Rhinolophus ferrumequinum: one gene and its partners. The protein of the gene in region 1 purifies or fractionates together with the protein of each later gene. This does not show direct contact. Links are inferred from orthologs where the notes say so. Each region holds a gene or a part of one and is shown in the gene's direction. Other genes may lie near its edges. The genes, in order: NLRP3, USP50 and NEK7.

What was found.
Region 2: the proteins of NLRP3 (region 1) and USP50 purify together in Homo sapiens (affinity purification with western blotting; 3 studies listed by BioGRID). This does not show direct contact. The link is inferred for Rhinolophus ferrumequinum from reciprocal best matches to the Homo sapiens genes NLRP3 and USP50.
Region 3: the proteins of NLRP3 (region 1) and NEK7 purify together in Homo sapiens (affinity purification with western blotting; 9 studies listed by BioGRID and IntAct, with this or other methods). This does not show direct contact. The link is inferred for Rhinolophus ferrumequinum from reciprocal best matches to the Homo sapiens genes NLRP3 and NEK7.

What each region holds. Positions count from the first base shown.
Region 1 is NC_046307.1:1,051,525-1,058,945, reverse strand, and holds the start of NLRP3 (NACHT, LRR and PYD domains-containing protein 3), read left to right. Parts: upstream 1-4,334; 5' UTR 4,335-5,087; intron 5,088-6,563; 5' UTR 6,564-6,744; intron 6,745-7,421. UniProt on the Homo sapiens protein: Sensor component of the NLRP3 inflammasome, which mediates inflammasome activation in response to defects in membrane integrity, leading to secretion of inflammatory cytokines IL1B and IL18 and pyroptosis.
Region 2 is NC_046289.1:57,045,294-57,053,326, forward strand, and holds the start of USP50 (inactive ubiquitin carboxyl-terminal hydrolase 50), read left to right. Parts: upstream 1-4,977; coding exon 4,978-5,030; intron 5,031-6,607; coding exon 6,608-6,802; intron 6,803-7,073; coding exon 7,074-7,269; intron 7,270-8,033. UniProt on the Homo sapiens protein: Deubiquitinating enzyme that removes conjugated ubiquitin from specific proteins to regulate different cellular processes. Regulates the inflammasome signaling pathway by deubiquitinating 'Lys-63'-linked polyubiquitination of the PYCARD/ASC adapter protein.
Region 3 is NC_046310.1:2,689,471-2,696,562, reverse strand, and holds the start of NEK7 (serine/threonine-protein kinase Nek7), read left to right. Parts: upstream 1-4,042; 5' UTR 4,043-4,323; intron 4,324-7,092. UniProt on the Homo sapiens protein: Protein kinase which plays an important role in mitotic cell cycle progression. Required for microtubule nucleation activity of the centrosome, robust mitotic spindle formation and cytokinesis.

The sequences.
Region 1 (7,421 bases):
CCTATCAGTGGATACCAAAGACTCTTCAAGGATGAGAAGCTGCCGACATCAGGGTTAGACAGCTACCCCAAGACATCGAGAAGGCCTGTACATCTACATAATTGATACTGAACTTAAAACAACCATTGTTTGATTGTCTTTAACTGTCTGCTAATAATATTAGTAATAATGATAGTTATACTTGTTTGTTAGGCTTTTTTCAAAACCTGTACTTATATAGCCCGACTGTTAATAATTGCTCAAGTCGTATTAGATAACTTCTTTATTATCAATAATACTATATTTATGGTTTTGAAATGTAAAAGAAATGTTATTGTAGAAAGAAGAAAAGGGATGTGTGTGTATTTTTGAGAGAAGTTAAAAGGAAGTAGTTTGTCCTAATAAGTTGATTATTTCTGAATGAGGGAAAGGAGACAAACTGAGAAGGACAAGTGAAGTTATAGAAGGTTAGTGGAAAAGAAATATTGAGAAAGGAATTTTATATTAGAACCCAATTATACTTAGCCCCAATCTTTACAAAGACTACTAACGATATTAATTCAGATAGAAGCTGAAGTGGAGATCTATCTATCTATCTATCTATGTGTGTGTGTATATATATATATATATATATATATGTACATATATACGTATATATATATATCCCTCTATAATGGCTGCTAAGGCACAGAAAATTTATTTATGAAACTTCTACTGTCCTCTTGGCCTCTAGAAATGTTCAGGTAGTAATTGTAACTTACACCATTGTGTTCTTAGCCCCTATTAAACCTTAAAGATACAGGTCCCGGTTATACAACTAGCAGAAATCAGATTAATGAATGACACATGAGCGCTTCCAATGTAAAGTAGATAGGCCATATTAAACTGAAAAGGTGAATGATTATGTCCCCAATCTATATGGAATTCTGAATTTACCTAATCCTGGCCTATTGTATCCACCTCAACAAACAACAATATGTGTTATATGAGAAGGGGACGTTTTTGTTGGGAAGGGTTAGAAAATTCTTCTGTCATACTAACTGATTTCTACTGTAATAATACCAGGTTTATAGTAAATGCTATGGGAATACGGTGTAGTACTGAAATCACAGCCAAATTAACTTTGCCTATAACAATATTGATACTGAAAATCCAGTGTACTGGGAAATTGAACTTACTCCTCCCCATGAAGTCATTTCTATGGAAACTAATTGACCAGAAGAAAAATTAGAGCTTTTCGATCATGAAATAGTAAATTCTTCATTTATCTGGCCGAACTTGTCATAAGGTACAAATAGCAGTAGACGAGGGAGGGAAACATATTAGCTTAATAAAAAATTATGATAATGCAAATGAAGGGTTCTTTGGTTGGCTAGGATGTTTGCTCCGCTCAGACTCATACTTGTCTAATATTGGACATTTTCTGCTCCTAATCAGTGTTACTGGTTTAATACTATTGCTCTTGTTCCTAGTTTGTACATGTTATATTAGGTGCAAAAAAACAACATAAGACAGACAGAGGAAAAACTTGGATCATGATAGCTCAAAGATTAGAAATGATCCAGAATATATTTAATGAAGACATATAGGATCTGACTGCCTCCTGTTTGCTCACCTTTTCTTTTAAATATAAATAAATAATTTGGCCTTGACTGCCATCTAAGGTTATGGTCTTGCCCCACCCACAATGGTCCAACATTCAGCAGGACAAATGCCGACACTAAGATTCCTAGGAATGAGCCCTCCTAGCACCGTGGGACCACACTATCCAACCAAAAGGTTGGTCATCAATGTATTATTCGAATTGATTTATGACCAAAAGGGGGAAATGTGAATGAAAAAGGGGCCACATTTAAACCTGACAAGCTCAGGAGACTGAAAATAACCACAGAGGATGGTGTGAACATAAAAATTCCTCAGTAAGGTGGGCCATGGCGGGAAGTCACATCCTCACCTGTTGCTTCCTTGGCAAAGGTAAATCTTTACCTTACGTGAACCTGTCTGTCGTCTTTTTGCATCTAAGATAACATACCCTTGGAATATAAGAGTAATCTCTTCCTTCAGACCTCCCAGAGGGCACAACCCACCGCACCAGAGCAGGAAACTACAAAATCCCTCATTGTTATCTTGTTTTCTAAATACCATCTCTCTGTGCTGTAAAATGCTATTAACTATCCTGTACCCACCAATGTAAAAGAAGTGTGTGTCTCTCCATTTTGCTTTTTATCCAATCCCAGAGATTTCCCCGCTTTGCTTTCTCCCACCCCCTTAATCTACGACCAATGGATTTCATGAAACCCTCCTCCTTTGATTCTAATGTATAAAAATAAGTTGCAAAATGGCCATTTTCCAGAGCATTTTCTCAATCCGTTGAGATTTTGCTTCCCAGCAATTGTTGTCAGTTTGGCTCAAATGAACTCTTATAAGCTTTCTCTCAGGCTGGATGTTTTTCTGTTGACTGCACAGTCTAAGTTGCATGAGGACACACCGTAATGTTTTTATTTGACAGAAATTGCCATACCAGAAGTGATGTGTGACACAGAACCTTTCTCATATGCACCACCTCTTCTTTATCCTGTCATCTATCGATGGGCACTTAGTTCACTTCCGTATCTTGGCTGTTGTAAACAATGCTGCAATGAACATACACATGCATGCACCTTTTTGAATTAGTGTTTTGGGTTTCTTTGGATAAATACCCAGGCGTGAACTTGCTGAGTCATAAAGTAGTTCTATTTTTAATTTTTTGAGGCATCTCCATACTGTTTTCCATAGCGGTTGCACCAGTTTGCAATCCTACCAACAGTGCACGAGGGTTCCCTTTTCTCCACATCCTCACACCACTTGTTATTTGTTTGTTTGTTTGTTTATTTATTTATTTATTTATTTATTTTTAACATTTTATTGGGGAAGGGGAACAGGACCTTATTGGGGAACAGTGTGTACTTCCAGGACTTTTTTCCATGTCAAGTTGTTGTCCTTTCAATCTTTGTTGTGGAGGGTGCCGTTCAGCTTCAAGTTGTTGTCCTTTCAGTCTTAGTTGAGGAGGGCACAGCTTAGCTCCAGGTCCAGTTGCCGTTTCTAGTTGCAGAGGGCATAGCCCACCATCCCTTGCGGGAGTCGAGGAATTGAACTGGCAACCTTGTGGTTGAGAGCCCACTGGCCCATGTGGGAATCGAACCGTCAGCCTTCGGAGTTAGGAGCATGGAGCTCTAACTGCCTGAGTCACCAGACTGGCCCTATTTGTTGATTTATTGATGATAGCCATTTTGACAGCAATGAGGTGATATTTCATTGTGGTTTTGATTTGCATTTCTCTGATAATTAGTCATACTGAGCATCTTTTGATATGTCTTTTGGCCACCTGTATGTCCTCTTTGGAGAAATGTCTATCCATGTCCGCTGCCCATTTTTTAATTGGAATTTTTTTGTATTGAGTTGTATGAGTTTTTTTTAATAAATTTTGGGTATTAACCTCTTATCAGATGTATTATTGGCAAATATCTTCTCCCATTTAATAGTTTGTCTTTTCGTTTTGTTGATGGTTTCCTTTGCTGTCCAAAACCTTTTTAGTTTGAGGTAGTCCCATTTGTTTCTTTTTCTTTTTTTCCCCTTGCCCAAAGAAATACATCAGAAAAAATATTACTAAGAGCAATGTCAGAGGGTTTACTGCCTATGTTTTCCTCAAGTAGTTTTATTGTTTTGGGTATTACATTTAAGTCTTTAATGCATTTTGAGTTTATTCTTGTATGTGGTATAAGAAAGTGGTCTAGTTTCATTGTTTTACATGTATCTGTCCATTTTTCCCAAAACAGTTTATTGAGGAGACTATCTTTACCCCTATTGTATATTCTTGCTGTTAGGTCTCTGAATGTTGGAGACCTTGACTTAATGTTAGGTCTCTGAATGTTAGGTCTCAGAGACCTTGACTTACAGACAGAACCACGTCTGCAAGAAAACAACAAAATGTCTGTTGGCCTGCACCTGCAGACAGAGCCAAACTTGCGAAAAACAGAAAACACCACAAAACAGCTACTAGCTTGCAGGTAGTCAGAATTTTCTGTTCAAACAGTGCTACCCTGTCAGCACAGCCCCTATAAAACTCTCCTCACCCCCTCCCTTGGGGCTGCAGGTCTCCTTTAGACGCACAGTCTGGGCTGTAGCCATCTTTGCTCCGCCCGACAGGCTTTCTCTTAATAAACTTTCTCAGCTTGCCTGACCATGTGCGTTCCTTTACCAGCCTACCTATCATTTGGTGCCAGAACCCGGGAGGGTTTAGGCCAGAGAATGCAGGATCGCTTCTTCTCTTTCTCTTCTCCCTACTCCCCTCTCCCCCCTGCTTGATCTGCTCTCTGGCTACCCTCCCAGACCTGCCGTAAGGATGTGCTTGGGGACTTTCTCCCTTCTGTTGCTGACATCCCAGACAACATCCGGCCAGACTCTCACACCGGGTGAGTGAGACGTCTTATTCTCTCCTCGGACCTGCTGACTCTCCAGTTTTCCAAAAGTCCTAGAGCTAGGCCAGAAAGTTCCTCCAGGCCCCGGGGGCCCAGATCCTCCCAGTCTGAGGACGCTGTTCTGAGGAGCGGTCTACCATATCCAAACCCGAGGAGGACGGACACCGGAATCGGGAGATGCCTCACCCCTGTGCTCCTCCTAACAGGAAGCTCTCTTCTCACCCTTGTCACTCTATCTCTTCAAACCATGGGGGCCTCACATTTGGTCCTTGCCAAATCTACGCCTCTCGGTTGTCCCCTCCACAACTTACACTCCCTTGGGCTCATCTTACAGGATATCTGACCCACAGGACTTATCTTTTACTACAGCACTGCCTCACCCCTATCTAACTTCTGTCACCACAACAGAAAATGGTCAGAAATTCCCTATGTGCAGGCCTTCTTTATTCTTTGAGCTCGACTCTCCCTCTGCCAAACCTACAATACATTCCAAATTCTCCTAGCGCACTCTAAGCCTTCTCCTCCTCCAGATAAAACTCCTTCCTTTGACCCGGCTGAAGATCGATTGGGTCTCTCCTCGTCCACCCCATGCCCTCAGCCTACACCTTCTCCCCCAAACTCCAGCTCCTCATTTCAGGAGGATTTAGTTCTGTAAGTACTAGCTTATGTAATTTATTTGTTTTATTTGCCTCTAGTCTGTCTTTTCTCTTTTCCTTTTCCTTTTCTATTTGTGTCTTAGACACCAAGCTGATCAGGAGCTCTGTATCTATACCTTCTGTGAGCCTTCTAAGTCATGTATTTAAAACTGTTTTGTACACCAACTATATTCAAGAACTTGACAAAAGGTGGTAATTCTTAAAAGATTTCTCTAACTCTCAGTAACTTTCAAGGTCTTGCAGATAACCTCAAATGTAAACAAAGGGCTGCTGCAGCCTCCACTTGAGGCTGAGGTAACTGAAGAGAAAAAAAGAGGCACTTTTAAACCCAGGCGGCAAGCGCCCCCACTCCGTTACAGCCTCCTGAAGTTGGAAGGGCAACTATAAGATCTTAGGTCCTCTCTGCAAGTGTTGGTGGTTCTGTTTACATATGTAGTCTCTAAGGTCTGTACTTGTCTGTTTTATATAATAATGGTTTTGCCTCCAGATGGTATTGCCAGTTTATAATATTTGATTGGCTAAAAATAAGAGAGTAAGTGCTTATATTAATTAAGATAATAACAACTAACTCAACTACTTCTCAGGATCACCTGATCTAAGGAAATATTTGATACTAAGACTGGTTTGTTGGATTTACTAAGTTGTGTTAAATGATGAAAGTTATTAACTATCTAGGTATTTCAAAATAGCAAAATATTGAAATATCAATTATTGGCTAGGTCTGAGTTTACCTATTTCTGGCTTCTTGTAACAGGAATAATAAAAGAGAAATTAAGATCTGTTAATGAATATGTCATGCATTGCATTACAAAAGTCAATGCTTTTAAAGGTTACAAAATATATCCCTCGATTTACCAGGGAAAGAGCTAATTACTTGCTTTTGGTTATTAGTATAAATTAAGGTTGTAAAGGTAGTACAAAACTCAAGTTGATTTTTCTCTCTCTGCTAAGTAAGACAAATTTTATTAGACTATTGGTCTACTACTAATATAAAAGGTTTTCTACCTAAAAAACAAAGATGATATATGTTATTGCAATAATTTCTATATTCTAGGACTACTGGTGTTCATGTGTCCTTCTCATGTCAGATATAAACAACTATTAAAAAAAATAATTTAACTGTTTTATACCAAAAACCTAGATAAGTTAGGGTAAATTCATTAAGCTTGACTTAATATTTTTCCTCACCTGACAGCAAATTATAATAATTCCGACCCATTGTTGCATCTTAATAAAAAGCCACAGAATCTAGAAAAGGTCAGGAAATTTGTTTAAATATCTTTAACAACTGAAGCAGGATAAACAAGTAATAAAGGAACAGTGAAACTAGAGACAAAGCCAGAGACAGGCCAGACTTTTGGCTGCAGTTGTAGACAACCCAGGGCTGAAGCCACCTCAGGGCCCCCCAGAAACCCCAGAAGAGGAAACGCCAGGCCACTGGAGTAAGGAGTGTCCTACTCCTCCAAACCAGCCATGGTCCCACTGCAAACTAAAAGGGCACTGGAGGAGGGACTGCCCCCTGTTCTGAAGGGAGCAGAGACCAACTCCCTCCCCACAAATGGCTGTGATCACTGCTGGACCTGAAGTTCCCAGAGGCTCCCAAGCTCTTCTCATCACAAGGGTGGAACTGAGGGTGACCGTTGACGTGGCAGGTAAGCCTGTAAATTTCCTGATTAATATAGAAGCTATTTATTCTTTCTTGACCACTCACTCTGGACCTATTTATTTCCTCTAAAACCTACTCAGTTGTAAAAATAAACCCCCCTAAATTTGGGCTCATTTTACTCCGCCTATTCCTTACCATTGGCCTATGTTGCAGAAAAAGTATAAAATAAGCAAATCACACTTAAAAAGGACTCTAGAAAAAGTTTTGTCAGGAGACCTCTAAGCCCTGGCTCTAATTGCTGCCCATTGCTGTGGATTCTGACCTCAATTCTGTTATTTTCTATATTAACTTGGGAAAAGTCCAGCAGGCACTCAAAATATAAGGACTGGCACTTCCCCCAAGCCAACTCCTCTACACATTATAGCCCCTTAAAGTCATAAAGTTGTACAGTGGGGACCAAGAACTATTAAAAGCCTAGAGGGGGAGGGGTCTCTAACAGCCCAATTAACTTCTAAACAGAAGGGACCCTTTCCAGATCTCCCAAACACCCCAACTACTATCAAACTACAGAGAGTCAGTAGCTGGGTCGCCTTCCCTTCAAATCAAACCTGCTCTATTAAAGTTTCCACAGGACACCCCCAGAAGAAAGACTACTGCTTCTGTTCCTGTGAGCCAACTGAAGGCCTTAAGCTCTTCTTCGAACAAACAGACAAGTCACTCTCC
Region 2 (8,033 bases), on another chromosome or scaffold:
TCTGTGAGCTTTTTCTTAGGAAAAATCCCAAGCTAAGGTTCTGATCCTCTCTGGAATATATTTCCTTCTTCTAGGCTCTTCAGAAATCCCTCAAGCAGAGTTTGTTTCTGGGGGTCTATGATTTCACCTTGGTGATCTTGGGCCAGGAGGGTTTTCTTCAGAGAAGCTACATAGTCCAGCTTTCAGTAAACAGCACCAGACATACAGGGACTTTTTCTCATGCGCTGCTCCACCCCACATTTAGCTCTATCCTTTACAGTCATGGACCGCATAACAATATTTGGTTGATGACAACTGCATATACCAGGGTGATCCCATAGATAATAATGGAGCCAAAGAATTCCTGTCAAAATGCATTACTCACGTGGTGATGCATGTATAGCAAACTTGTACTGCCACTCGTATAAAAGTATAGCACACACAATTATAGTACATAATACTTTATAAAAACTTGCTGCTTTATGTATTTACTGTATTTTTAATCAGAGTGTCCTCTTTCTACTCACAAGAAAAAAGTTTGCTATAAAACAGTATGTCACTAGCAGCAACCTCATACCTTTCCTGTTTACTATGGCTCTTGATTTGTCATTTTCTCTTGTGTTTAGTCTCATGTTGTTTTGTACAGTAAGATACTGTACAGGTTTGTAGCCTAGGAGCAACAGACTATTACCAAATAGCCTAGGTGTGTAGTCGTCTGTACCACATAGGTTTGTGTAAGTGCACTCTGTGATGTTTGCACAATGATGAAATCGTGATCCATATTCCCATTGTTACGGGATTCACGACTTTACTTGGTTTTTCCTTGGAATTTCTGTGCAATCCTGCATTATGAAACTTTAATTTTAACTATAAGTGTCTCAGTATATGTTTCTAAAATACAAGAACTATGATATCCTTACGTCTAAAAAATTAAGTTCCTTAATATCATCAGATAATGTAATTATTCTCAAACAAAAATTTTTTGCAATTTGCTTGAGTCAGGACCCAGATAAGATACATTGCTACTTGATTTGTCTTTAAAGTCTCTTAATATATAAATTTCTTCTCCCATCTTTTTTTTTTTAATTTATTTTTTGAAGAACCAGCTTATTCTAAGAAGTTTCCCGCATTCAGGATTTTGCTGATTATTTCCATTAGGTGTCATGTTACATTGTTACATCTTTCTTTTTCCTGTATATGCCATAAATTAATTGTTAGGTGTGGAGGCTTGGTCAGAATTCAAGATTATATTTCTGACAAGAATGCTTCATTGGTGGTGGTGTATATACTTCCATTAAGAAATACAGGTTTGATTGTCTTTTTGATCGTCATTGCCTAGATTTATTAATTAGGTCACTGGTTTTCAAAGTGGACCGCAGACCCTGAAGGTCCCCAAGACATTTTTCATGGGTCCACAGGGTCAAAACTCATAATTCTAAGATAGTATTTGCCTTTTCACTAGTTTGAAACTACTAAAGGGCGCAAAATCACTGATGGGTAAAATTGCTGGTACCTTAGTGTGAATCAAGGCAGGAACGCCAAACTACAAGGGTCGTTATATTCTTCAGCTTCACACCACAGTTTTAAGAAAAACAGTTCATTTCATTTAAAACATCTCTGAAAAGCTGCTGCACAGCAAAAGAAACCATCAACAAAATAAAGAGGCAACCAACAGAATGGGAAATTTTTGTAAACGCCTCCAATAAGGGGCTAATGTCCAAAATATATAAGGAACTCATACAACTCAACAACAAAACAAACATCCCAATTAAAAAATGGGCAGAAGACCTGAACAGACATTTTTCCAAAGAGGACATACAGATGGCCAACAGACATATGAACAGATACTCAACATCACTAATCATCAGATAAATGCAAATAAAAACCACAATGAGGTATCACCTCACACCAGTTAGAATCAACAACACAAATAGTAACAAGTGTTGGAGAGGCTGTGGAGAAAAAGGAACCCTCATGCACTGTTGGTGGGAATGCAGACTGGTGCAGCCGCTATGGAAGGCAGTGTGGAGGTTGCTCAAAAAACTAAGAATAGAATTACCATATGATCCAGCAATCCCTCTCTTGGGTATATACCCCCCAAGACCTGAAAACATTTATCTGTAAAGATATATGCTCCGATGTTCATTGCAGCTTTTTTTTACGATGGCCAAGACATGGAAACAACCAAAGTGTCCTTTGATAGATGATTGGATAAAAAAGATGTATATATACACAATAGAATACTACTCAGCCATAAGAAAAGATGAAATTGTGCCATTTGGGACAACATGGATGGATCTTGAGATTATTATGCTAAGTGAAATAAGACAGCAAAAGTTGAGAACCATATGACTTCACTGATATGTGGCATATAAAACTGAAAACAACAAAGGAACAAGACAGACAAATGAAGAAACAAAAACTCAGAGACAGAGACAATGTTTACCAGGCGGTAGGAGGAGAGGGGATAGTAGAAAAGGGTAAAGGGGGTCAAAAAATGGTCATGGAAGGAGAATTGACTGGGTGGTTTACACACAAGGTGATGTGTAGATGCATTACAGAATTGTACACATGAAACCTATGTAATTTTACTAACCATTGTCACCCCATTAAGTTTTAATTTTAAAAAAGTATTTGATGAAGTAAGTTAATTTTTAACCTTGACTCTTGTATGCATGTCTTTAATATTATGTGGAATAAAATGAGAAATAGTCATAAAACACTTCTGCTGCATAATGAAATGAGATGATTGTCTCAAAGAAAAGCACTTAAGCAATTGTGTGAGTTGCAAATTGAACTAGTCACTTTTTTCATTTAACATCATTTCTGCTTGAAAGATTTCATGACTGGCAGACAGACAATGGTTATTCAGACCTCAGTATTTGGCTAAAGAATAACTACTTTTTAATGCTAAAGTTTGAACTTCGTAGAGACAATTGGAATTTTGGAAAACTTGCCTCTTAACACCAGTAGCGTGACAAATTCTCAATACTTTTCTAATGAAATCAGTGTTGATTTAATAATGGTTGTTTTTGATATTGTGTAAAGAAATGTGTCAATGTTTGGAAGATCCATGTAACAACCAATATTTTCCAAATGACCTATGCATGATATTTAAAATGATGCATGAGTGAAAGATCTAGCAGACTAGAGAAGGCTTTCAGATTCTATATAGCAGTTAGTTGACTTTTGGAAAACTACTACTTGTCTAGTTTTGGTGTTGTCTCAAATAAGAATATCCACAATTACCTAAAAAGGCTATTAAGATACTCCTCCCCATACAAAGCTGCAGTAATCAAGACAGTGTTTTACAGCATATAGATCAATAAAATAAAATTGAGTCCAGAAATTTATGGTTAATTGATTTTTGACAGGGATGCCAAAACAACTCAATGGGGACAAATAGTCTTCAAAAAATTGTGCTGAGACAACTAGATAGCCACATGCAAAGAATGAAGTTGAACCGCTACTTCACACTGTATATAAAAATTAACTCAAAATGGATTTAAGAGACAAATGAAGAATATATAGGGGTAAATCTGTAACCTTGGATTAGACAATAGTTCCTTAGATATATGACACCAACAACAAAAGCAACCAAAGATAAAAATAGACAAATTGAAATTCATCCAAATTTTAAAATTTTGTTTTTCAAAGTATATCATCAACAGTGAAAAGACAACTCAGAGTGAGAGAAAAAAAATTTCAAGTAATGTAGCTGATAAAGAAATTTTATAAAGAACTACAAATCATCAGTAAAAAGACAAGTCAATTTAAAACTGGGCAAAGGATCTGAACAGATATTTCTCCAAAGAAGACATAAAAGATGGTCCAGAAACACATGAAAAGATGTTCTACTTCATTAGCCATTAGGGAAATTCAAATCAAAACTACTACAATGAAATAACACTTCACACCCACTCAAATAGCTAGGATCAAAATATAAGTGTTGACAAAGATGTGGAGAAATCTGAACCGTCATACATTGCCGGCAGGAATTTAAGTGGTGTAGCCATTTTGGAAAACAGCCTGAAAGTTTCTCAAAAGGTTAAATATAGAGTTACCATATATTACACAGCAATTTTACTTCTTGGTATATACCTTAGAGAACTGAAATGGTGTCTACACAAAACCTTTTACACAAATGTTCATAGCAGCATTATTGATAATAGCCCAAAAGTGGAAACAACCCAAATGTCTAACAGATGAATGGATAAAATGTGGTATATCATTCATTGTTGGGGTGGGGGTAGGCTCCTCCCTACTGAAGAGCTTTCTAAAGCACAGTTCTCTATGAAGAAAATGAGAGCTCAGGAGATTGTGTGTGCTCTACTACTTCTTAACTTATAAATTGTTTTGTGATAAACCCTTTATTTATATTTGCCCTGCATGGCGCTAGTGGGATTATGTGTGTGTGCGCACATGCACCCACTTTGCACTACAATTGGCCATGAAGGGAAATGTTTCAATCTATTCCAATGCCATGCATTTTTAGAAGCAGCAAAATCCAACTACCTCCCTCCCCTGGGTGAGAAACAGTCCTTCGTGGTCCTGGGAGTGGCGCCATCATGAGGACAGTGGGTGAGTGCCCAAAGTGGGCAGGGTTACCATAATGTCCACTGAAGTGCGCACGCGCGCATGTGTGTGTGATATATATATACACAAGAGAAAATGAGTGATGAAGAGATGTTATATATTTAGCTCATTCTTTGTAATCTAATCTAAAAGTTTTGAAGCAACCAAGTAACAGTATCTCATGGCAACAAGCTAGAATATTGAAGGTGAATGGAAAGGATTATGATGCATGGAAAATCCAAGTTGGAATGTTCCTGAAGGACAGATGAAAATCAGTTTGTAGCTACTAAAGGGGAGGTGGGGGACATACAAATTGTTTATTACAAACAAAAAGAGCCAAAGTAACAGGCTCAGAGAATGAAGTTAAAAGGATTAGCTGTAGCTCCTGAATAGAAGTGAAAAGTCCGACGTGGTTTCACTGCAATGACTTCGCAGCAGCCTCTCCCCACAGATGACTTCAGTATCTACTATGTCCTGTGAGCCTCCATCTACTACAGCTTTCTAGATAAGCTCAGGAGGGCGGGGGGGAAGCCATGCCAAAGGAGTCGGGGGGGGGGGGCACATGCCACATTTGGGAGGTTTCCCCCAGATTTGACCCATTGGAGGTCCCCCAAAAGGAATCGAAGATGTTATTTAATACCCAGGCAACTGACAGTCCAGGTCCTCCCATAGCAAAGGCGAATAAAAGTGAAAATGGCCATTCATGTAACAGTGAGCTCTTTTCAAATTGGCAGAATTGTAAATAGAGGAACTGAGGTGAGGTAGCGATCTCATGGAGACGCCATTTTAAATACTTGAGCTAGAAAGACAAATAATAAAGGACAAAGACGCTGGGCTGCCTGGTGGAAGAGTCAAATTACAAAAGGAAACTGGCAGCAAGGACTCCTTGGGCGGCCACAGTGCTCCCTCTTCTGCGCAGGTCTGGTTGATTCACACGAATGCTTTAATTCGATAGCTTGCTGTTAAGGACTTTCTAGATGAGTGACTTCTTTAAAAAGATTTGAGGTTACCACTTAACTATGTAATCAGTGCCACGTGCCTTGCATCATTTAATCCTCACAACAAACCGATATGGCCGGCAGCAGTACTCCTATTTTACAGAAGAGAAACAAGAATTAAGTCTCCGATCATGTAAGTAGTATAGTGGCAGAGTCAGGATTTAAACTGAGATCTGTTTTTTACAAAGTCTAGGCTCTTACGCTTCCTTTTCCAGTGTGTGTATGTGTGTAATTTGTATATATATAATATGCACATATATGTGCTCTTAATATATGTATGAGTATATAATATGTGTCTACATTACGCTCTCTCTCTCTCTATATATATATATATATTTACACACACACGCACGCACACACACTCTTAATATATGATATATAAATCCAAATAACTTGACAGACAGATGGCCAGTAGGTACGTAGGTATGTAGACAAATATTCCTTCTCTCGACATATACTTCTCTCCACGACTGCACATCCCTTAGTATATTGCCATAGGCAGATGACTAAACCACTTAAACATGATATCTCATCTATTACAGGATTTAAAAATAATTGTACCTACCCCCAAGAATTATTGAAAGAATTAAATGGGAAAATACATGTTAAGTACTTAACATAGTGCCAAGCTCAATACAAGATAGCTATTGTTACTATTAAGTACTATCTAATATTGTTACTACTAATAATAATTAAATAACTTGCCCAGCAAAAAAGGGAAATACTTTGGTATTCAGAGGGAAAGTTTACATTGGTAGCCAAACAACTCTAAGATTCTGAAAGGCTGATATTTTCTGTCCTCTTGCTTTGGTTTTACGAAGAAACTTTTCTCTCTTCGTATTTGGCTGCTGGCACTGTTCCAAGAGTTCTGGACTAAGTAATGTAATTTTAGACTCCAAGTTAGATTACTTCTGTCCTTGGTAGGGAATTTATTTGACGGAGGTCTTACTACAAACTCTCCTTTGTGTCATGAGGTTGAGAGGGCCTTATTGTCATATGTACATATTTCGGTCCCTCAAAATGCTGTCCTTTCTTTCCACATGGCACCAACACAGCGCAGACTGCACAGATCACTGTGATACCTTTCCAGTTAAGGAGGCTGATGAGAACCAGCCCCATTTCCAGGGCGTGACTGGCCTGCGGAACTTGGGCAACACATGCTACATGAATGCCATCTTACAGTGTCTCTGCAGCATCTCACCGTTGAGGGACTACTTTCTCTCTGGAAAGTACATCACTGCTCTTCAAAAGTAAGACCATTTGCGTTCCCTGCAGTCCAGCCCCTTCCCCTTGTTTCCCCACGGTGAGGTTAGGGAAGGAACACTCTGGAATCCCTATTAAAGGCTAAACAAGTCAGTAGAGGCTGCAGTACCCCAGATACCATTTCTAGGGTGAGTAAAGCAAGAAGGTCAACCAAGAAATTAATGAAGCTTTGTTTGGGGTCTAATGTCCAGATGCTTGAGTTTTTAGGTGCCTTCTTTTCATTAAATCAGCCAGAAACATTCCCTTCCTTCTCCCAAGGAACTGCAGTGAGGTCGCCACTGCTTTTGCCTATGTGATGACAGACATGTGGCTTGGAGACTCAGACTGTGTCTCACCAGAAATATTTCGGTCAGCTCTTGGCAACCTCTACCCAGCATTTACGAAGAAGACACAGCAAGATGCTCAGGAATTCTTGATTTATGTCCTGAACGAACTTCATGAATCTCTGAAAAAGGTAAGTAGAATTAATGGCCTTGAAATAGGATAGACCTTCAGCTTTATGGGCAACTTTCATTTTTCATTCTTTTGTTTTGTTCAATCAATATTGCCTACTCTGCCAAGCATAGGTTCTGGGAGTACTGTGGGGGAACATTCCAGTTAGTATTCGAATAGGTCTGTATTTACCAAACTTTGCTGATCATCAAAGTAGGAAGATTTTTACGACACAGGTTCTAAGGCCCTTGGTCTGGTGTTACCGAGTTAGAATGTCTAGGACTGTCTTCTGGGAAAGCTCCGTTGGTATTTCTGGTGATCAGCAGGTGTTGGGACCATTAATCTAGTTCCCTTTGCACATAACATCTGCATGGATTTTTTTTTAAGTGAAAATCACTTTTTTGTAAAAATATATTCCTTATGACATATGACACGTAGAACTTTACAACCTAAAATAAATGTTCTTGGCAAGTACAAACCCAAGAAACTGTTACACTTGTCATTAGATTAAAGGACAGATCTATATACTGCAAAGTTTCACCTTCATACCAAACATGCCTAACCTGAATTCTTCATTGAGTACAACATACGTTTAATAAAACATGAAATTGCCCATTACTAAGAGTTTTATCCTTGTTTACAAGTCTCACTTCCTTCAGCCATGGTCGGACACCCTCATTTTCCAAAGATGTGTCCTTGACTTTATGCAGTGTCCTTATGCGGTGTTAGCTTACCTCATAGCTAACATCCAGGAAATATTTAGCATAAAAGATCACAAAGTATATC
Region 3 (7,092 bases), on another chromosome or scaffold:
TGAAGTGAGGAGCTCAGAAGAGAACTTGACAAATAAGGAGAGGTGGAGGGAGACAAAGTAGGAAGATCTCTAGGGAGTCGTCCCACTTGGTTTTGTGAGATCACAGGATCTTGGTAACAATATCCCCTTTTCAGAGTAGATGCATGCACACAGAATATTCCAGAGAAACCTGCACTTTTAAAAATTATCTTTGGAATTCGATTATTGTGTCATCACACTCTGTTAGGGTAAATAACTGAGAGGTGATCAGGAACCCACAGTGAAAATTCTACCATTGTTGAGGACAGTGTCTCCTGTGAAAAGGCCTCCCCATTTGGCTCCACATCAAGGATGGTGTGGACAAGTGTGCAAAGGGAAATAATTTCTGAGTATATTTCCTTCATTGCTTTGACTTACTGACCGTCATCACATAATGGCCCTCGGGCTTTTATACTGAGAGACAAAAAGCATAAATTCAGTTGGATTCTGTTCACCAAAGGAAATCATGATATAAACCTAAACTCCTAATTGTACTCTTTCTTTCCTGTGGTGCAACCAGTATAAAATATCGCATTTCCCTACATAAATATATATATAAAATATATATAAAATTAAAATGTCTCCCCAGTTTTATAACTGCTACAGAAATAGCCGGGGGACCATCAGGTTGCCACTATTTTTATCTGAGAACTGACTGTATTCTCAAAATACCATAATTAGATAACTGGGACATCGCAGAGTTATCTGTCTGTGATTTTGGATTCTAGGCATTTGGATGTAAGGATACAATTCAGGCTGATTTGACTGTTTTAATTAGAAGCTTACCTGCATGATGTCTTAACACAAGTAAAAAGTAGCTCTCTAATATTTTTCATGAGTGTTTTCAAAGCAAGAGAAAGAGTTCTTTCCTGAAGCTGCACAGTGACCACAGCCAGGGCCAGACGAAAGCGATCTCCCTTGAGTCATGTGCAGTCTGCACTTTCACTTCCTCCGTTTGGCCCAGTTTAGTCCAGACATTTCAACAGCTTGACTAACCCTCATCGTCATTTAGCTGCCAAAGTCTGTGGCCGCCAATATCACTGGTAGCTTTTGAAGTACACGTGTTGCCAGCACTATGTTTGAGTCAGGAAGGCGAGACCTTGCTGGTCTAACCCTCAGTGGCTAGGATCTTTTTCAAAGGAGAATTATTTTTAATATTACTTCATCATCCTGCATCAGGAAAAAAGTTTTCTGGCAAGCTTCTCTCTTTCCAGAGAAATTGCATTGACACTGAACCTGGTATGTAACATCTGGTCTGGGTTAGCCTGTGGATAAAAAACAGTATTGATAATCAGTACTACTTCTAATTTATATTTTTAATTGGATGGAGCCAGCAAACCTATATAAATAACAAAACACGATGACTTGGTGTAAACCGATAGTTTTTTAGCGTAATAACCATTTACAGCCGGGTTAATCTGATAGTGAATGGTAGGTATTGCATGGTAATTAGGTATGAACACTAAGTAGCTCATATAAGGGACTGTCATGAAGGTGTCTCGTGGAGCCAAACAAGCATTTTGGAGCAAGCTTGGTGGGGAGATGAAAAGCAAAGAGTTAAAGCTGGACTCTGCTCTAATGCTCCCTGGGACCAGAGGAGCCTGTTTTTCCATTAGCATTCGCTCCAGGCCAGGGGCCAGTGGCCAGGGACAGGACTCCCAATTTACCATATGGGTCAGTAACGAAGAGTCACAAAGAGAAAGTACAGTGGATTCTGTTCTGACAGTCTTCCCAACCTTTCAGGCAAGATAGTACTCTTTAGTTGTAACTTTGTGTCTTCCAAGGTGAAGAAATAGGACACATACAGGTGATTTCAACAGATTGGGCACCAGGGAGCCACTGGTAGGGTACTTCCTAGGCTGTCTGGGGTCACTAGGGGTTCTTGAGCTCATTTTGATCCATTTGCCTACCAGTCAGTGTTATAAATGATGTACGTTTTCCTTACACGTGAAATATCTGGTCCTCAGATGAATCTGAAGTTTATTCCAACTGGGCTGTTTTATCCATCATCTATCTACCTACATTTTCTAAAAGGTAGTGCAGTAGGACACCATGGCTTGTATATTAGGTTGAAATGTCTTCACCCTGGGAGTCCCTGGTGACTTTTCCTGCAAGGTGTGCCTGTGTCTGACTCAAGTGACATTGTTCTTATTTGACTGATGGCTTTTGATTTGCTGTGACTTGATAGAACGATTTAAATTGTTTAAATGCCAGCATCAATGGCTTCATCCTTGCCGCCTTTCTTATCCCACATCCAGTCCACCGGCAAATCTTGTTGGCTGTATCTTAGAAATATATCTGGAATCTGACCATGCATATCGCCTCCACTGTTAGCACAATGTCTAGTCATCAATATCTTTACCTGACCATTCGAATAGTCCCATGACTGTGCTAGGGTCTCCACAGTGCAGTGCATCCTCCCAACCTAAGTCTGATATGGTCACTACTCCAACGGCTTTCCATCTCATTCAGAATAAATGCGAAAAGTTACAAGGTTCTACGTTTACTCCTACCCGTACCCCCACCTCCTCTGCCAATGTCATCTGCCAGCACTTACCTATTGTTCACTGGATTTTAGCTACACTGACCTCTGACCTCTTGGCCATTCCTCAAAGAAGCCAAGCCCACCTCTGGTGGGGTCTTTGCATGTGCTGTAAATGCTCTACTCCTGGACACGTGGCTCATTTTCTCACTTCCTTCAGGTCTCTGTGCAAATGTCAGAGATGCTTTCCCAGATAAACATATTTCAAACAGCAGCCTCCCCGCCACGTCTCCCTGCCCTGCTTCATTTCTGTATGAGTCACCATCTGACATAGCATGTCTTTATAGGCTTATTATTTATTATTATTATCGCTTGTTCTAGTGCAATGGAAGCCCCAGGAGACTTTGTGTCTTGCTAACTTGTTGTACCTTCATGCATTGTGACTCACACATTGATTTAAAACTTCCTGAGCCACTGGAATCAACATCTCCTGAGATCTTGAATTATTTTTTTTCTAAGCATAAACTTCCCAAATCTTAGTTCCATAGCTTTAAAATTTTAAGTATTTGATCTATAATCTCCTCATTTTTGGCCGGAATCCCTTTGGTGTGGAGGTCAAACTAGTAAAAGACGTAGGAGTAGTAACTATTTAATGAGTACTTCTTACATGCCAGGCTCTTGTGCGGAAGCACTCTGCTTTATCTCATCTAATTCTAACCGCAGGCCTAAAGATAGGTATTTATTACTACTGTGTTCTCCTTTTATAAACAAAGATTCTGATACTTCGTAGAGGTGAAATAACTTGCGGCCAGGTCACAGAGTTAATAACCGTCGAGCTGAGATTAGAATCAAGGTGGGGTTGATTCCACACTGCCTCCTAGCTGTCTCCTGCAGTAATGCGTGTCCAGTTGAAGTAGGGAAGCGGTTAGAATCAAAGCATTCCCTTTACAGCGACTGTGCTAAGGTGCTGGGGTACGTTCGTATGTATTATAATATATGTAACCTCCTCCCTCTAGGATTCCAGGTACCAACCCAGAGGTTGTTCACCTTTCGGAAATGTCCCGAGAGCCACTGTTCCTCTAGGTTGGGACTCTTACTTTAAACGCAAGGTTCGCTCAGAGCCGAGGTGGTTTACCACCTAGGAAGAGAAGAATGGAGACGTCACCAATTCGGCGTACCGCTTGCAAGTGCGGGTATTGAAATATAAGGGAACAAAAAGCAAGTTCTCCAAAGGCGGCCGACCCCCGTCTCCGAGGGAAGTCGGCCCGAAGGAGGGGAATAGGGCTGGGGGGGCCAGAACGAAGCGCCCCGCGATGCTAGGCCGGATAGCAGGAAGCTACGTGCCGGGAGTTTCGGCCCCAGCGAGGGTCCCACCGCTCCGCAGGGAGCCGCGCGGACATCACCTGGGACCACCGAGGTGTCTGCCTGCCGCAGCTGCTGGACCGCCGCGCAAGGCTCGGGGGCGGTGAGGTGGGCGTGGCCGGCGGCGCGGAGGCGTGGCCGGCGGCCGCCCCGCCCTCTCCTCGGGGATGCCGGGATGTTTACACTCCTGACAGCCGCGTCCGCGAGAGGAGGAGCGGGAGCCTCGGGAGGATGGGCCGCCGCTAGCCTCGCACTCGGGACGCGCCCTCGCCGTGCGCAGGGTGGGTGGCCGCGCCTGCACCGTCCGCGGGGGCGGCGCGGCGCGAGGTTGGCGATCGGCTCCGGGCCTCGCAAGCCAGAGCCCCAGGCCCAGCGGGCCTTTCAGCGGCGATTCCTGGCCCGGCCGCCCGCCTGCCCCGGGCCCCTCGCGGGCAGGAGAACTGACAACTTCCAACTTCCCGGTGAGTCGCTGCGGGGTCGCGGCGCCGGGCCGAGCGGTGATCCTGCGGGAGCCGGGCGGGGGTGGGGATGCGTCGGGATCGCGCGGGCGGCCTCCGGGTCCCGCGGCCGGGGAGGTGGGGCGGGGCTCGCCGCGCTGGAGCCCGACGCTCCGGCCCTGGTCTTGGGCAGTGGCGGGAGCTTCACGCCTGGCACCGGCTCTGGCGGCGCCGGCCACGGTAACCAAGAAACTCCGCGGCCACGGCGCTGGCTGCAACAGGTCTTGGGTTTCAGGACCCGAGGAACTTGGGTGAAGTCCCGCCTCCCGCCGCTCGGCGGATGCTCATTGGCCGCGCGGGTTATTTATTGCTCACGGATTGGTTAGGCCCAGCTGTCGGCCGCCAGACTTGGAAGAGGAAAAGTTCAGTGGGAGAGAGTGGGTGGTGGGCAAGTGTCCAGTGGCTGGAGAAGTACCGGGAGGATGACCAGCCTGTTGGAGAACGAGCTTTAGTGGGACTCCGACAGGTTCAGGAAACGTCAGAGAGAGGGAGTGCAAGGCGAACACTGGTAGTGATGGTGGCCGTGGAAAAGAAAAACCGAAAACTGAGGCCGAAGCTAGAGAGACGGAGGGTAGCCCAGAGGAAAAAGGAGAAAATAGGGGGCCACGTTGCCCCGGGGCAGTGTCAGGAGATGAGCACGACGTAGAGGACGCTGCATCCAGGTCTCAAGGACTCCCGTTGCCTCTTCCCTTGTGCACTGGAGGCCTGGGACACGATGCATCCAACTGATGAATCGTGTTCTCGCAGAGCCGTCGTCCTCGTTAGGGGTCAAGACTAAACGCGCGCTTATGTCACAGTAAGATAAGCTCCCATCCTTGAGCAGTTCTGGTGACGGAACTGGAATTCAGACACGTGTTACAGGCACGAAATGATTTTCCTCCTGTGAGACTGGTGATCTGAAGGATGCCGCTGAACAGTCAGATGCCCCTAGCTGGCAGGCATGGCGTACTCCTCGTAATGAGAACCAGTGTTTCGAGGGCCTCTTCCGAGGAATTGTGAGTTTCCCAAAGTGTGCACACGCCCCGCAGGCGACAGCTGCGTGCCTTGTCAGGTTGCATTACAGAATCAAGTACAGAACGTGTGTGCAGTACGTCTGTTCAGAACAGGAGCTTGGGCGGCTGCAGGATCGGCCGAAGAGTGGCAGAGCACTTCCGCTCAGAGGGTTTTTAGGGTACTTCGGGGGCGACCGGACCAGCACTGAACTCGGTGACTCAGTGAAGGAGACATGCCGCTCGCTCACCATGTGGCAACTCTTGCTGAATGGACGCGCCGGAGTTTGGGTCATAACACTTGGTGATAGCACTTAAGACGGTTGACGTAAAACGTAGAGTCATTTCATTTTCCGAGGAAGTAGTCTTCCGCAGCCCTCGGGGAGATCCAGCCCACAGCTGGCTTCCCCCTAAGACCGCAGCATCCTCTGTTTGCCTCCTGGGATGGGAGTTCGCGGGGTGGGGGAGAGGAGATGGAGCTTAAAAACGTTTGCCTCTGGGAGGCGTCAAAGGGACAGAAACTGTAGGTGGGAGAAGAGCCGGTGAAATAAAAGGGCGAAGCCCCTCTGTGGAGGCAGGTTGTTTTCTCGCGGGCTGGGGAAGCGGGGGACCCGAGAGGTGCTGGCATGAGATTTCCGCTCCACCGGGGAGGCCCCGCCCTCGCAGCACTGACAGCCTCCGCAGCCAATGAGCGGCTAGGGTAGTGCGGTTCCCGCTTGGGAGGCGGTACTTCCGAGCCCCTCCGGGAGGCCGAGAGAGCTCCTGCTGGAGGCATGTCTGCGGGCGGTGGAGGAGGCTCCAGTTTCCTCTCACCCCTCGTGCTTGTCTCCTTTCATAGTTAAGCTGCACCTTCGACTCACGACTGCAACTGAAACTTTATAGTCGACAAGAAACGAAGTTGGTCAGCAAACTGAATACCACCTCTGTAACTGATCGGGATTTTGCGAAATGATCTGAAAACGGAAACCAAGAAATGTCAGAATCTAAATCGTTAAGCGTGTTCACAGTGACTTGGGAATCTTTCCGCAGTTAAAAATCTTTGTCAGCTTATAAAGACGGTAACTTGACAAATTCATTTTATGATCAGAATTCAGGTATAATTATTTTGATCATTTCTGTGGCACCCTCCATTCCCTTTCCCACTTGCACATTTTGCTGGTGGGACAATCTCAAGAGCTTTTCTCCGGCCCAGTAAAACAGCACTTACTCCGAGAATGAGGAAAGCACGTCTGGTATGATGGCTTCATACCAGTGGAGGAGCGGAGACTCGAGGCCAGTCTGATTAACATACCCGAGTAGTAAAAATCAGTGAATGTTTCAAATGACCAGAAGTGCAGTTATAGTTTTGTGCACAGGAAGTATTTAACCTACGCCCCTCCCGTCATCTTCTGGTGTTGTAATCGACAGTTTTGGGCTCTGATTTACTGCAAACATTTGTGTTCTTTTCAGCTACTGTGCATTTACAGAAATGTAGATTCTTTTTTTTTTTTTTTCCACTTAGGTATGTGGCCTGAAGTAGCATTAGAGACTTTTACAGGGTATCTAGAACCAAACACTATTTTCCTAGGAAGCAGATCTTATGTTTTAAAATGTGTCTCTAGTATTACTAATGTAGCCACCACTGAGGGCATCTGGACTGAGAGAATAGTGATTATCTAATGCGTTTTGGAAAAGAGGTTGCTTAATTAGATAAATAAGTTCCAAATTTCCTTTCAGGTTTTGCTTACTTTATTGTTTTAAAAAT